Linked DNA regions of Coturnix japonica. The protein of the gene in region 1 purifies or fractionates together with the protein of each later gene. This does not show direct contact. Links are inferred from orthologs where the notes say so. Each region holds a gene or a part of one and is shown on either strand. Other genes may lie near its edges.

Region 1 (4,148 bases):
TCATCTCCGCCTCAAGCAGAATGCTCATTATTGGTTTCTGGGAGAATAAAGAACGCAACGGATCAATGCCATTAACCCAAGCTGCACTTAGAAGACAAAGCTGGTGCAGCTGTTGCACCGATGGTCTCAGGAGTACAGAAGCAGGGCTACACTTGGGGCTGTGGCAGACCTGCCAGAGCTCTCTGAGGGCACTTCCATCCAAAGAACACAGCCGGGGTAAAAGTGACAAATGCTGCAAGGATATAACACTGTGAGTTGCCTTCATTGCCCTACAAAATGAAGAAGACATTAACAGAACTTTCAACAGTGATCTGACCCAGTGACAGCATTTCTGCTTTGGCACGGTTCTAACAGCACCTGCCGTGAGGTAGTGTGGCACTGAGGGACATAGTCAGTGGGCACCAGGGGGTGGGGGTGGGTTGAGGTTGGACTCGTGGTCTTTTCCAACTTCTATGATTCTATTGTAGCTGGAGAAGGTTTGAGTGCTTAGGAGGAGAGCACCCGCTATCCCCCGAGTATCTCTGGCTGGCTGGCTGTAAGCTGTGGTGCCCCTTCCCTGGAGGGGCTCAAAGCCAGGTTGGATGGAACCCTGGGCAGCTGAGCACAGGGCTTGGAATGAATCAGCTTGGAATGAAGTGATATTTAAGGACTCTTCCAACCTGAGCCATCCTCCGATTCCACAATCTGTGTGTTTGATGTGAAGTATTGCTTTGTGGGGATGAGACGTTTTCTCAGGAGGATGTAAACTTCCATAGGGCAAACCTCCTGTGAGAGTTACCTGCTGCATGGGAGCTCTGGTTTCTGGTCAGACCAATGTTCAACCAGTCTCCTCTCCACTGAAATCCCAGCCCTGGTTTGGCAAAGGCAGAAATGTGCATCTATCTGGAGTGCCTCCTCACTGCTCGAGAGGCTGACAGACGAGGCAGTAACAGCCCTAAGAGCCCCATCCAACCTGGCCTTGGATCCCTCCGGAGATGGGGCGCACACATCCTCTGTGGGCAACCCGTTCCAGCGCCTCACCGCGCTCACACCAACGCATCGATCCCGATCACCCTCCCGCCTCATCCCGCTGTCCCCGTGCAGCACAGGCCCCGCCGCACGCAGCCTGCGGAGCCGGGCGGCTCCCCCAGCGCTCCGCACCCGCGGAACCTCCGCGTCGCTCGTGCCGCCGGGGGGCAGCCACCGCCCGGTCCGGCTCCGCGGGTGCGGGAGGGGGGGGGGCTCCGCGGGCGCGCAAGCCCCGTGCCGTCACGGGGCGGGGAGGAGGCGGCTCTGCGGCTGCATGTGTGTGTGTGTGTGTGTGTGTATATGTGTGAGTGTGTGTGTGTGTGGCGGGGCGTCGTCATCCGCATTCACATGGGGGAGGCGGGGGCCTCGGCCTGAAACCCCCGCCCGGGGAGGGGAGACAGCGATCCCATAAAGCCGCCCCCCCCTCACCCCCCTCCCCTCCAACCCAGCTCCGCGCGGCCATGACTTCGGCCGAGCAGACCGTTACGTGGCTGATCGCCCTGGGCGTGCTGGAGTCGCCCAAGAAGAGCATCGCCGACCCCGAGGGCTTCCTGCAGTCCTCCCTGAAGGACGGCGTGGTGCTGTGCCGCCTGCTCGAGCGCCTGCTGCCGGGATCCATCGAGAAAGTGAGTCGGGGGCAGCGGGCTTTGTCAGGCCGGGGGCGGCGGCATGGCGCGGGGGGCACGGCGGCGGCGGCCTCCGCCTTGGGGACCCCGGAGATTCGGTGCCGAGTTCCTCCCGAGGAGGATGGAAGCGGCGGGAGGGAACAAAAAGCGCTCCCTGAGCCCCGCGTCCGCCCCTAACGTTCAATTGAATTTCCTTGTAATGCGGGCTGTTGTCCTGCTTGCTTGCTTTATTTTGGCTTTCTGGGGGCCTCCGTGTGCCGGCACACCTCATGGAACCAACTTTCCCCATCTTGCTGGTGACTGTTGAAGGTCACCTGGCAGGTGGCTGTGGTCACCTGCCGTGTGTGTGTCTTTCTTGAGCCTCAGAGTTGGAAACCTTTGAGCTCTGTAGGGTGCTGGGTTTGGAGCAGGGTCCTTAGTTCCCCACAGGTTGTGGCTGTCACCGCTTTGTGCTGTTGTCCACCCTGCTCTGTTTGGTGACTTGGTGCTGTCCTCATGGACTGCAAGCAAATGGGGGATGTGGAAATGACCCCGGAGCTCACAGGTGTTATGGAAATGACACAGGAGTATTGAGTAACAACGGGGACAGCTGGCTGGGACAGCCATGGCCTGGAGCAGGCTGCACAGAGAGAGTGTGGAGTCTCCTTCTCTTGAATGACTCAGAACCCACCTGAATGTCCTGTGTGACCTCCCCTAGGGAACCTGCTTTAGCAGGGGTTGGACTTGATGATCTTCAGAGGTCCCTCCTGACCCCTGTGGTTCTGTTATTCTATGTGTGAGATGCAGCTGGAAATAATGCGTGTCCATTCCTTGGCACCAGTCACACAGTGGGGCGCAGACCCTCCTCAGGAATAGTTTGTTGGTGCATCCTTCCATCTGCATGACAGCCGTGGTGGTTTCCCAGCCTGTCTTGCTGTGCCTCCCAACCTCTGGTCTCCAGAGCCCCATGGAGCTGGGTGCTGAGCATTACAGCAACGCAGGGCTGTCCATGCACTTCTGGCAAGCCTGGGAGGATGATGGGGTCCTGAGATGGAGTAGGGAACAGGTTCTGCTGCAGGCGCACTGAAATAGAGATGAGTGATGGAAATAAGTAGCAGGAAAGCGTTTCCCAACTTCACGTGCTTCTGTGTACGGTGCAGCTAGGAGTGGCTTTGATGGGAAGGAGAGGCGTGCTCTTGTTATTGTGTCAAAGGAGGCAATGCTTGTGATACTAGGGTCCCTTCCCAATCCCAAACCTAAGGGGAGGCTGTGCAGGAGCACAGCTTCCCTCGGGAGCTGACAGTGGGGTGCTTTTATCCAATCTGCCATACAGGGATAAGCCAAATAGTGCAGGGTTGTGCAGAGGGTGGTGATGGGCTGGGATGGCTGGCAGAGGGGAGAAGGTCTTTCAGCCTGCCACCTACCCCAGCCAGCCTGTGTCCAGCCCTCTGCTAGAGCTCTGTGTATTTACTGATTTCTTTGTTTTGTGAGCAGACCTATATGTAGTTCTTGGCCTTTCTCATTGTGCTTTCTAGCCCAAAGGTGCCTTTGAAAGTCTCACAGACTTGTGTCCCAGTCCAACTCTGGGCTGGTCGGTGTCCTTCCTTGTAGATTACACTGTGTTCGTGTGCTGTATTTGTGCTGGGTAACTCCTTGTCAGGAAGCACTGGCTCCATTTGTTTACAGAACAGTTGCCTGTCTTGAGCAGCAGACAGGTATTCAATTCATCCGATTCCAGGAGCTGTGAATGAGAGCGAGTTGGAAGGCAGCATTACTATGCATTGCATCTCTTGCTTCTGAAGAGTGGCCACGAGGAGGTAAAATCAGGCAGGATTGTGCAGAGCAATGGTCCTGGTGAACAGTTTTGTAACATGGGAAAGGGGCAGAAGGCAGAGCAGTTGCCTGCAACCAACAATGAATTTAGAAGTGTCTGCAACTGTGTTCAGCTTTTCCTGTTGACTCTGGTCCGCTATCAAGGTGAGCAGAGCTAAGGATACTTGTTTTAGAGTTGTTTATTTAACTATGCACATACAGTAGAGTAATGCAGTGCTGATGATGCCAGTAGGTGCTCCTGAATCCTCATGAGTAATTTTGTATTTGCTTTCCTTCTTCAATTTCCTATGCATCCATCCATTTTCATATACGACATGCACAAGATCAGGATTAGCATTTTTAAGTATTCTAGAAAGTTTCAGAAGATGTCATAGAATCATCATAGAATGGTCAGTTTTAAGCAGTAATGGTCAGTAGTTCAGCAGTAGCCGAGAAGATACACCAAATCTCTTGAAATTAACCTGAACGTCAGTACTTTATTGCTGAACTGACCTTTCAAAACTGGGAATAAACATACACTGGTATACAACTAGAATAAATGGTAGGGAACTGTAACTGGGGGGTTGGACTTGATCTCTGGAGGTCCCTTCCAACCCCTGTAATTCTGTGATTCTATAACAGGGCAAAAGCAAAGACTGCCACCTCCCCCTGCCCAAACCCTCAACTCCTTAAAACTCAGCCGTGCATTACATTGCACCAGTC
Region 2 (3,566 bases), about 3.4 Mb from region 1:
ACTTCAGACTATGCATCTGGGGAGCTTCACTTAAATGACTTAACTGTGCACGATGGCAATTATTTATTGAATAATAGACTATTGGGTTTCTTAAGTAGCTGAGGCACTGAGCTGTGGAACAAAGACTAACACAAATTACGCTGTCAGCTGTATTTCAGTTTGTTCTTGAAACCACCATACTGTGCCTTCTTTTTGTTCACTTTTATGTAACTCTTTCTTTTTCTTTTTGAATTATTCCCAACAGCCCAGTGACTTCTCGGTATCTCTAAAAGCATCGGGGAAGAACAAACATTTCAAGGTGCAGCTCGTGGACAATGTCTATTGTATTGGGCAGCGTCGCTTTAATACTATGGATGAGTTGGTGGAACACTACAAAAAGGCACCCATCTTCACCAGTGAACACGGGGAAAAGCTATATCTTGTGAAAGCACTTCAGTGACGATGAAGATGGACTTGGCCACCCAGGCCCCTTCTAACTTCCAAGCCTTAGGTCCTAAAATCACTTTTATAGAGCAGAGCAATATCCGAAGCAGGCTTAAAGAGTAGGCTCTTTCTAACGTGTTTGCTCTGTTGGTTGTTATTTGTCCTTTTTCGTTTGCCTACTTTTGTGTTTCAGTTCTGTTAATCTCAGATCACCTCCCTTCAGGTTGAGAAGTTCACCTCTGTGGCCATTGTAAGCACTCACTTCCATGTCCGAGTTCTAAACTCCCCTCTTCTGTGTACGTTTACATACTTAGCTCGGATAAAGGAGGGGGGTTTGCAATTCAACCCAGTGTTAACCTGTTCAAATTGCTCACGCAGACAGACAGAACTCTTTGTTAAGAGACATCGGGCACAGTTTGAATGCACTGAGGCTGCAGCTAAGTAAGTGAGATATAGTAGACATAACAGTTGTGGCTGTGAGTTCTGTAGCTATATTGCTTACCAGGTAGTATATTACAAAAACTCCTAGTTCCTAGAAGCACTCTTTACACTGTACTCTGCTATTACATTGCCTCTCTGACTCTTTGCAAAGAGTACACTAATTAAAGCGTTTTGTAATAGTACTTCTTAAACTACTATGGTAAGATTGTAGTAAAAGAAAACTATCTAGTGTATTTTGGTCTGTAATTGCAACAAAGAGAAATTTTATTTGAAAGTTGATTACTAAAGAGAGAATCATTGAATTGTAAAGACTGAATGTTCTGGTAATCTACAACCAAATGTGCCATCCACATAATGCTTTTTTCCTCTTGCCCTTCTGCTTGTTTGAATTAAACAATTATGTATTTAATTCTCAAAGTAATATGTATCTGTAGCTGATTGTTGACACTAATACAGAAAATTAATAAAAACTGATCAGGGGACAGGGTGGGGTGGGCTACCAACACTATATATATATTTGCTTTACAGAAAGGAAACTTCAGGTTTTATGGAGGGTGGTGTGATTGGTAGGAAGAGACACACAGAATGTTTATGAAGAAAATGCTTTTTTCTCTTTTCTTTACATTTAAACTCCTTTATGGTTTAAATATACAGACTTTAGATGGCACACTCCTGAGATTGAAGAAGGGATCTTGAGATCTCAAAATCTTGCGTACTCAGTTTTTTGGATATTGTAATAAAAAAGGTATTATGTCATGATGGAGTACTGGGTTTATCCTTGGGTGGTAGTTCTGGCGTGGCTTTAGAAAGGTCAAATAGAGTAAATTCTGAATTTGCCTGTCTTGGAATGTGTGTGGCCTACAAAGAAAATATGTGCCACTGCAGAGTTCAGGTTGATACGAGGCGGTGTCTAATGAGCTCCACATTGATTCTCTCTGTGATTTGTTTATAGCTTTAATGAAAACTGCAAGATGGAGCTCTTTTATGGGACCTTTTTTTGCTATTAAGTCTTCCTTACAGATTTTTGTATTTCAGCCAGTGGTGATACATGCATAACTCCAGTGTAGGCAGAACAAGCACCAGCTGAGGGCTGCTCTGAAAGTAATGTCTCCTATTTATTATTATGAAGTCAGAGGTGGATATTAGTAGGACGGTAGTAGGGGCTGAGCATTCCCACCAACATTCTGTAACATTTTGCTGCTGTGTGACAGATGGCAGCACTCTGATGCAATGATGTCTGACATGAAAGTGTGTATGAAACAAAGGTGTCTAGTTGAATTCCTCCATGCAGAAAAAAATGGCACCCATTGACATTCATCATCATTTGCTGGAACTTAATGGAGACCAGACAGTGGATGTGAGCACAGTGAGGCGGTGGGTGGTGCATTTCAGCAGTGGTGACAGCAACATGAAAGACAAGCCATGTTCTGGATGGCCATGCAGATTTTTATGAGTGTGGCATGCAGGCTCTTGTTCATCGCTGGCAAAAATGCATAGCTGATGGTGATGACTGTTGAAAAAGAGTGTTTTGTAGCTGAGAATTTGTTCTATCAAATAGTGTTATTGTGCTCTTTGTATCTGTGGTAGTTTCGATGGAAGTAAATCGAGGCATTACTTTCAGAGCAACCAACGTACAACTTCATGAGTTATACACATGTTATTCTTCCACAGCTGCTCTTATTTCTGTGAGATTATCTGGATTAGAACTGTGTATGAATTAACAACTGTATGTGGGTAAACAAAAATCGGGCACTGAAACTTCTGCATGGTCCAGCTTTGTGAATAAGGGTAGTTATATAAGACAGACCAGAACAATCACTCTTCTTCATCCTGGCAAGAACATACCCATGGCTAGATTATGGGAGCAGAGAAATTTTCATTATGGAGTTGCTGAGAAGTGCCCCTTGTTTACATCCTTCTTGCCAGGACATCACAGTTGGTTTCTTCTTAACCTTTTAAGTGAGTTCTGCAGAGGCCATAGGGCTTTTGCTGTGTAATATCTAGTTACTCATTTAGCTCAATGTAAGCATGTACCTTGAGTATGACAAAGACATTAAGAAAGCCAACTACATGCTGTGTGTTTTCAGTTCGGAGTGAGTTGCTTTTCAGTCCCATTGCCTCTTTGTAGTGTTTCAAAAAGTGGTACGTGGGAATGTTTTTCAGTAAATCAACAACTACAGTTACTCTTTCATGTTGCCCCATGTTCATTTTTCTGAAACATTCACTGTATTTTGTGTTCCAAGAGTCTTTCTATGCCTCTTGCTGTGCGTTTCCTATTTTGCTTTTCTTTTTTCCACTGAAAGTTCCGAACCCCTTTCTAGTCTTGATAGATTAGAACTAAATCAAATAGACCTCCAAGTGAGATTTTTACCATATGCTCGATATTCTAAGGGATTTACAATCCTTTTATTTTTTTCTTCCACCTCTTGCCTTGTGAACAGCTTCTGAATATAGAGGCGCCAACCACTGGAGTATTTTGTTTGGAAGCAGTAACTAACGTTAATTTATGATCCAGCCTTATGAACAACTAGCTTGAATTATTTTTTTTTGAAACAAGCTTCATCTTGTTTTTGCCCACTCCGTATTTAATCAACATGCAGTCTATTCAGCAGGCTCATTAATAGGTCTTCAGTTGTTCCCAGTCCTTGCTAATTAAGATAGGTTTCTGCAAGTTTTACTGCCTTTTTGACCTCGTTTTCTGG
Region 3 (3,566 bases), on another chromosome or scaffold:
ACTCATGAGCATTAAACCGAGCCAGCTTCTGTCTTCCCTAAATTAGAGAATAATATTTATAAAATTAATAAGTGTGTCATATACTAAATGAACAGCACAGTTTCCAGGCAAAACAAAGACTACAGCAGTTACAGTGAGCTGACTGTTCAATTTAAACATCTGCAGAACTCGAGGGAAGAGACGATGCAAAACAGTTTTTATGCTCTTCACAAGCAGTTGTAACTCTTTTACAATAATAAAGTACAGTAGAGCAATATTGTTTAGAATAACAGGCTTATTAAACAAGAATAGTTTTGTAGTACTAAGGAGATCACGTACCTGATTCCTGGTTGAGGAATATTCAGGATTTACAGGAAGAAAAGGGACCACTGTGGTCTCTGTCACGAGAGTACTATGATTCTGAGTAGCAAGCCAAACTGCTCAAGGAAGGGGAAAGAAATAATAACAAAGGATTAAACTGCCTGTGTAATTTGGTAATGATTTTGTCAAAGAAACAAAAAACACAATTCCAAGAACAAAAATCAATCAATTCAACCAAAGATGTTTTTCCCCTCCCCCAGACGTCTCTTTACTTTGATAAAATAAAACTAACCAAATAAAAAACACTTAAATGAGCATGAAGAGAAGGCAATAGAAGAAACTACCACTATCAGTAATTACTTAACACATGCTTGCAACTAGTATCATCTTTGTGATGTAACAGTTCATGTTTGATACAAATTCCGCTCACCTGCATCTGTTTCCCTCCTGTCAACTTCATCATACACATCCATGGCAAGTTCTTCAAATAAGTGGTTGCTTAGCTAGGGGTAGAAAAATTACAACTGAAAATCAAACCGAACCTATTAAGATTTCTGTAATACTGAAAATAGAAGTGCATAACTTTGCTCTCCGTTGGCACTCTTCCAGCCCCAAAACTACATAGGCTGAGAAGCAAGCAGTTAAGTTAAACACAAAGCAGGTGTAAGTCACAGAGCAGCCCTGCTGGCAGGGGACCTGCCAAAGATGAGGGAATTGAGTGTATGCTCAGTAAGTTTGCAGGTAACACCAAGTTGGGAGGTGGTGTTGATTTGCCTGAAGGTAAGGAGGCCCTACCTGGAATGGCCTGGCCAGGGAGGTGGTGGAGTTGCCATCCCTGGCAGTGTTCAAGAAGCGTCTGGATAGGGAGCTAGGAGATATGGTTTAGTGGTTTTCTGTAGGTATGGTAAAGGGAGGATGGTTGGACTAGATGCCCTTGTAGGTCCTTTCCAACCTTGTGATTCTATGATTCTAGGACACATGTTGGTGCTGGGCTGTTGGCTGGGGTCAACCCACCCCAACCTGCAAAAATACAAAGCAGGAATCTATCTACTTGTAGCTAGCTATGCATTTAAATTAACTACTACCAGCATGTTAAAATACACATTGCTGAATAGAAACAGTATCATCACAGTTGTGCTTCCTCCTGACACGAGTTCTCATCTTTTGATCCAATTTGCTTCAGTTAAAAGCTTTTTCCCTAATCTAACTTGTGTAAGGATTTGGTCACACACACCTTAGTAACACTAAGTTACTAAGTTGGAGTTCTGTGTGCGTTCACGTGGCCATGATCTCATTGCCATCACGGAGACGTGGTGGGACAGCTCGCATGACTGGAATGTTGTCTTGGAGGGCTATGTGTTTTTTAGGAAAGATCGGCTGGCAAGGCGGGGTGGTGGAGTTGCTCTTTATGTGAGAGAGCAGCTAGAATGTATTGAACTCCACCTGGGGGAGAGTAATGTAGAAGTCAAGAGCTTGTGGGTGAGAATCAAGGGCCAGGCTGGCAGAGGGGACACTGTTGTGGGTGTGTACTACAGGCCTCCTGATCAGGAGGAGGAGGTTGATGAGGCCTTCCATAAGCAACTGGAAGTAGCGGCACACTCCCAGGCACTGGTACTTATGGGGGATTTCAATTATCCAGATATTTGCTGGACGACCAACATGGCCAGGCATGCGCGGTCCAGACAATTCTTGCAGTGCATTTAAGACAACTTCCTGATGCAGGTGGTAGAGGAACCAACGCGGGGTGGGGCATTGCTGGACCTTATTCTCACCAATAAGGAAGGACTTGTTAAGGAAGTAAAAGTTGGGGGCAGCTTGGGATGTAGTGACCATGAGATGGTGGAGTTCGAGATCCTGAGTGGAGGAAGCAAAGCAAAAAGTAGGATTGCTACCCTGGACTTTAGGAGAGCCAAACTTGATCTCCTTTGGGACCTACTTGGGGCTATCCGTGGGCCAGGGTGCTAGAAGGCAAGGGGGCCTGTGAGAGCTGGTTAGCGTTTAAACGGCTCTTCTTCCAAGCTCAGGATCGGTGCGTCCCTGTGACTAAGAAATCGGGAAAAGGTGCAAGGAGACCTGCGTGGATGAGTAAGGAGCTCATGTGCAAGCTCCGCGGAAAGAAGAAAGTACATGATATGTGGGAAAAGGGGTCTGACCACTTGGGAAAATACAAGAAGTAGTCAGTGACTGCAGAGATGCGACCAGGAAGGCCAAGCCCACCTGGAGTTGAAATCTAGCTAAGGAGATAAAGAATAAATAAAAAAGGCTTTTTAAAACTACGTTAACAGCAAAAGGAAGGCTAGGGAGAATGTGGGCCCCATACTAAGTGAGGGGGGGCGCTCTGGTAATAGGGGATGCTGAGAAGGCGGAAATACTGAACGCCTTCTTTGCTTCTGTCTTTAGTGAAAGGGCTCTCCCTCAGGAATCCCGGACTCTGGAGGTTGATGAGAGAGTCCGGGGAATGGGAGATTTCCCTTTAGTCAGGGAAAGAGGTGGTCCGTGAGTGCCCTAGGAAACATTAAGGTCCATAAATCCATGGGACCTGATGGGGTGCATCCGCGGGTGCTGAGAAGCGCTGGCGGAGGTCTCTGGCTGAGCTGCTCTCTGTAATCTATCAGAGGTCTTGGAGAACTGGGGAGGTGCCTGAAGACTGGAGGACGGCCAGTGTCACTCCTGTCTTCAAAATGGCAAGAAGGAAGACCCGGGTAATTATAGGCCAGTCAGCCTCACCTCTGTCCCAGGGAAGGTGATGGAACAGCTTGTGCTGGATGCCATCTCCAGACAAACTGGGTGATAAGGAGGTTATCAGGAGTAACCCAGCAATGGGTTCACCAAGGGGAGGTCGTGCTTGACCAACCTGGTGGCCTTTTTATGAAGATGTCACCTAGCTGGGTGGACAGTGGGAGGGCGGTAAGATGTAGTCCTACCTTGATTCAGTAGGCTTTTGATACTGTCCCCCATGACATCCTTATAACAAAGCTGAAGAAGTATGGGACAGATGATTGGACAGTGAAGTGGGTCGAGAATTGGCTGACTGGCAGAGTGCAGAGGGTTGTCGTTGGCGGTGCGGTGTCTGGCTGGAGGCCTGTAACTAGCAGCGTCCCCCAGGGGTTTGTACTGGGTCCGGTCTTGTTCAACATCTTCATCAACGACCTTGATGAGGGGATAGTTTGTGATGTGAAAAGAAAGTACAGCATAGGAAGTTTTGTGCGGAAGAACTTCTTTACAGTGAGGGTGACGGAGCACTGGAACAGGCTGCACAGGGAGGT

The links. The genes of interacting proteins can lie anywhere in the genome.
Region 2: the proteins of ARHGEF7 (region 1) and NCK2 purify together in Homo sapiens (affinity purification with mass spectrometry; 3 studies listed by BioGRID and IntAct, counting the BioPlex papers as one, with this or other methods). This does not show direct contact. The link is inferred for Coturnix japonica from reciprocal best matches to the Homo sapiens genes ARHGEF7 and NCK2.
Region 3: the proteins of ARHGEF7 (region 1) and GIT2 purify together in Homo sapiens (affinity purification with mass spectrometry; 6 studies listed by BioGRID and IntAct, counting the BioPlex papers as one, with this or other methods). This does not show direct contact. The link is inferred for Coturnix japonica from reciprocal best matches to the Homo sapiens genes ARHGEF7 and GIT2.

What each region holds. Positions count from the first base shown.
Region 1 is NC_029516.1:125,507,024-125,511,171, forward strand, and holds the start of ARHGEF7 (rho guanine nucleotide exchange factor 7), read left to right. Parts: upstream 1-1,301; 5' UTR 1,302-1,469; coding exon 1,470-1,634; intron 1,635-4,148. UniProt on the Homo sapiens protein: Acts as a RAC1 guanine nucleotide exchange factor (GEF) and can induce membrane ruffling. Functions in cell migration, attachment and cell spreading. Promotes targeting of RAC1 to focal adhesions. May function as a positive regulator of apoptosis.
Region 2 is NC_029516.1:122,088,835-122,092,400, forward strand, and holds part of NCK2 (cytoplasmic protein NCK2), read left to right. Parts: intron 1-244; coding exon 245-439; 3' UTR 440-3,566. UniProt on the Homo sapiens protein: Adapter protein which associates with tyrosine-phosphorylated growth factor receptors or their cellular substrates. Maintains low levels of EIF2S1 phosphorylation by promoting its dephosphorylation by PP1.
Region 3 is NC_029530.1:5,995,487-5,999,052, forward strand, and holds part of GIT2 (ARF GTPase-activating protein GIT2), read right to left. Parts: intron 804-3,566; coding exon 731-803; intron 417-730; coding exon 319-416; intron 38-318; coding exon 1-37. UniProt on the Homo sapiens protein: GTPase-activating protein for ADP ribosylation factor family members, including ARF1.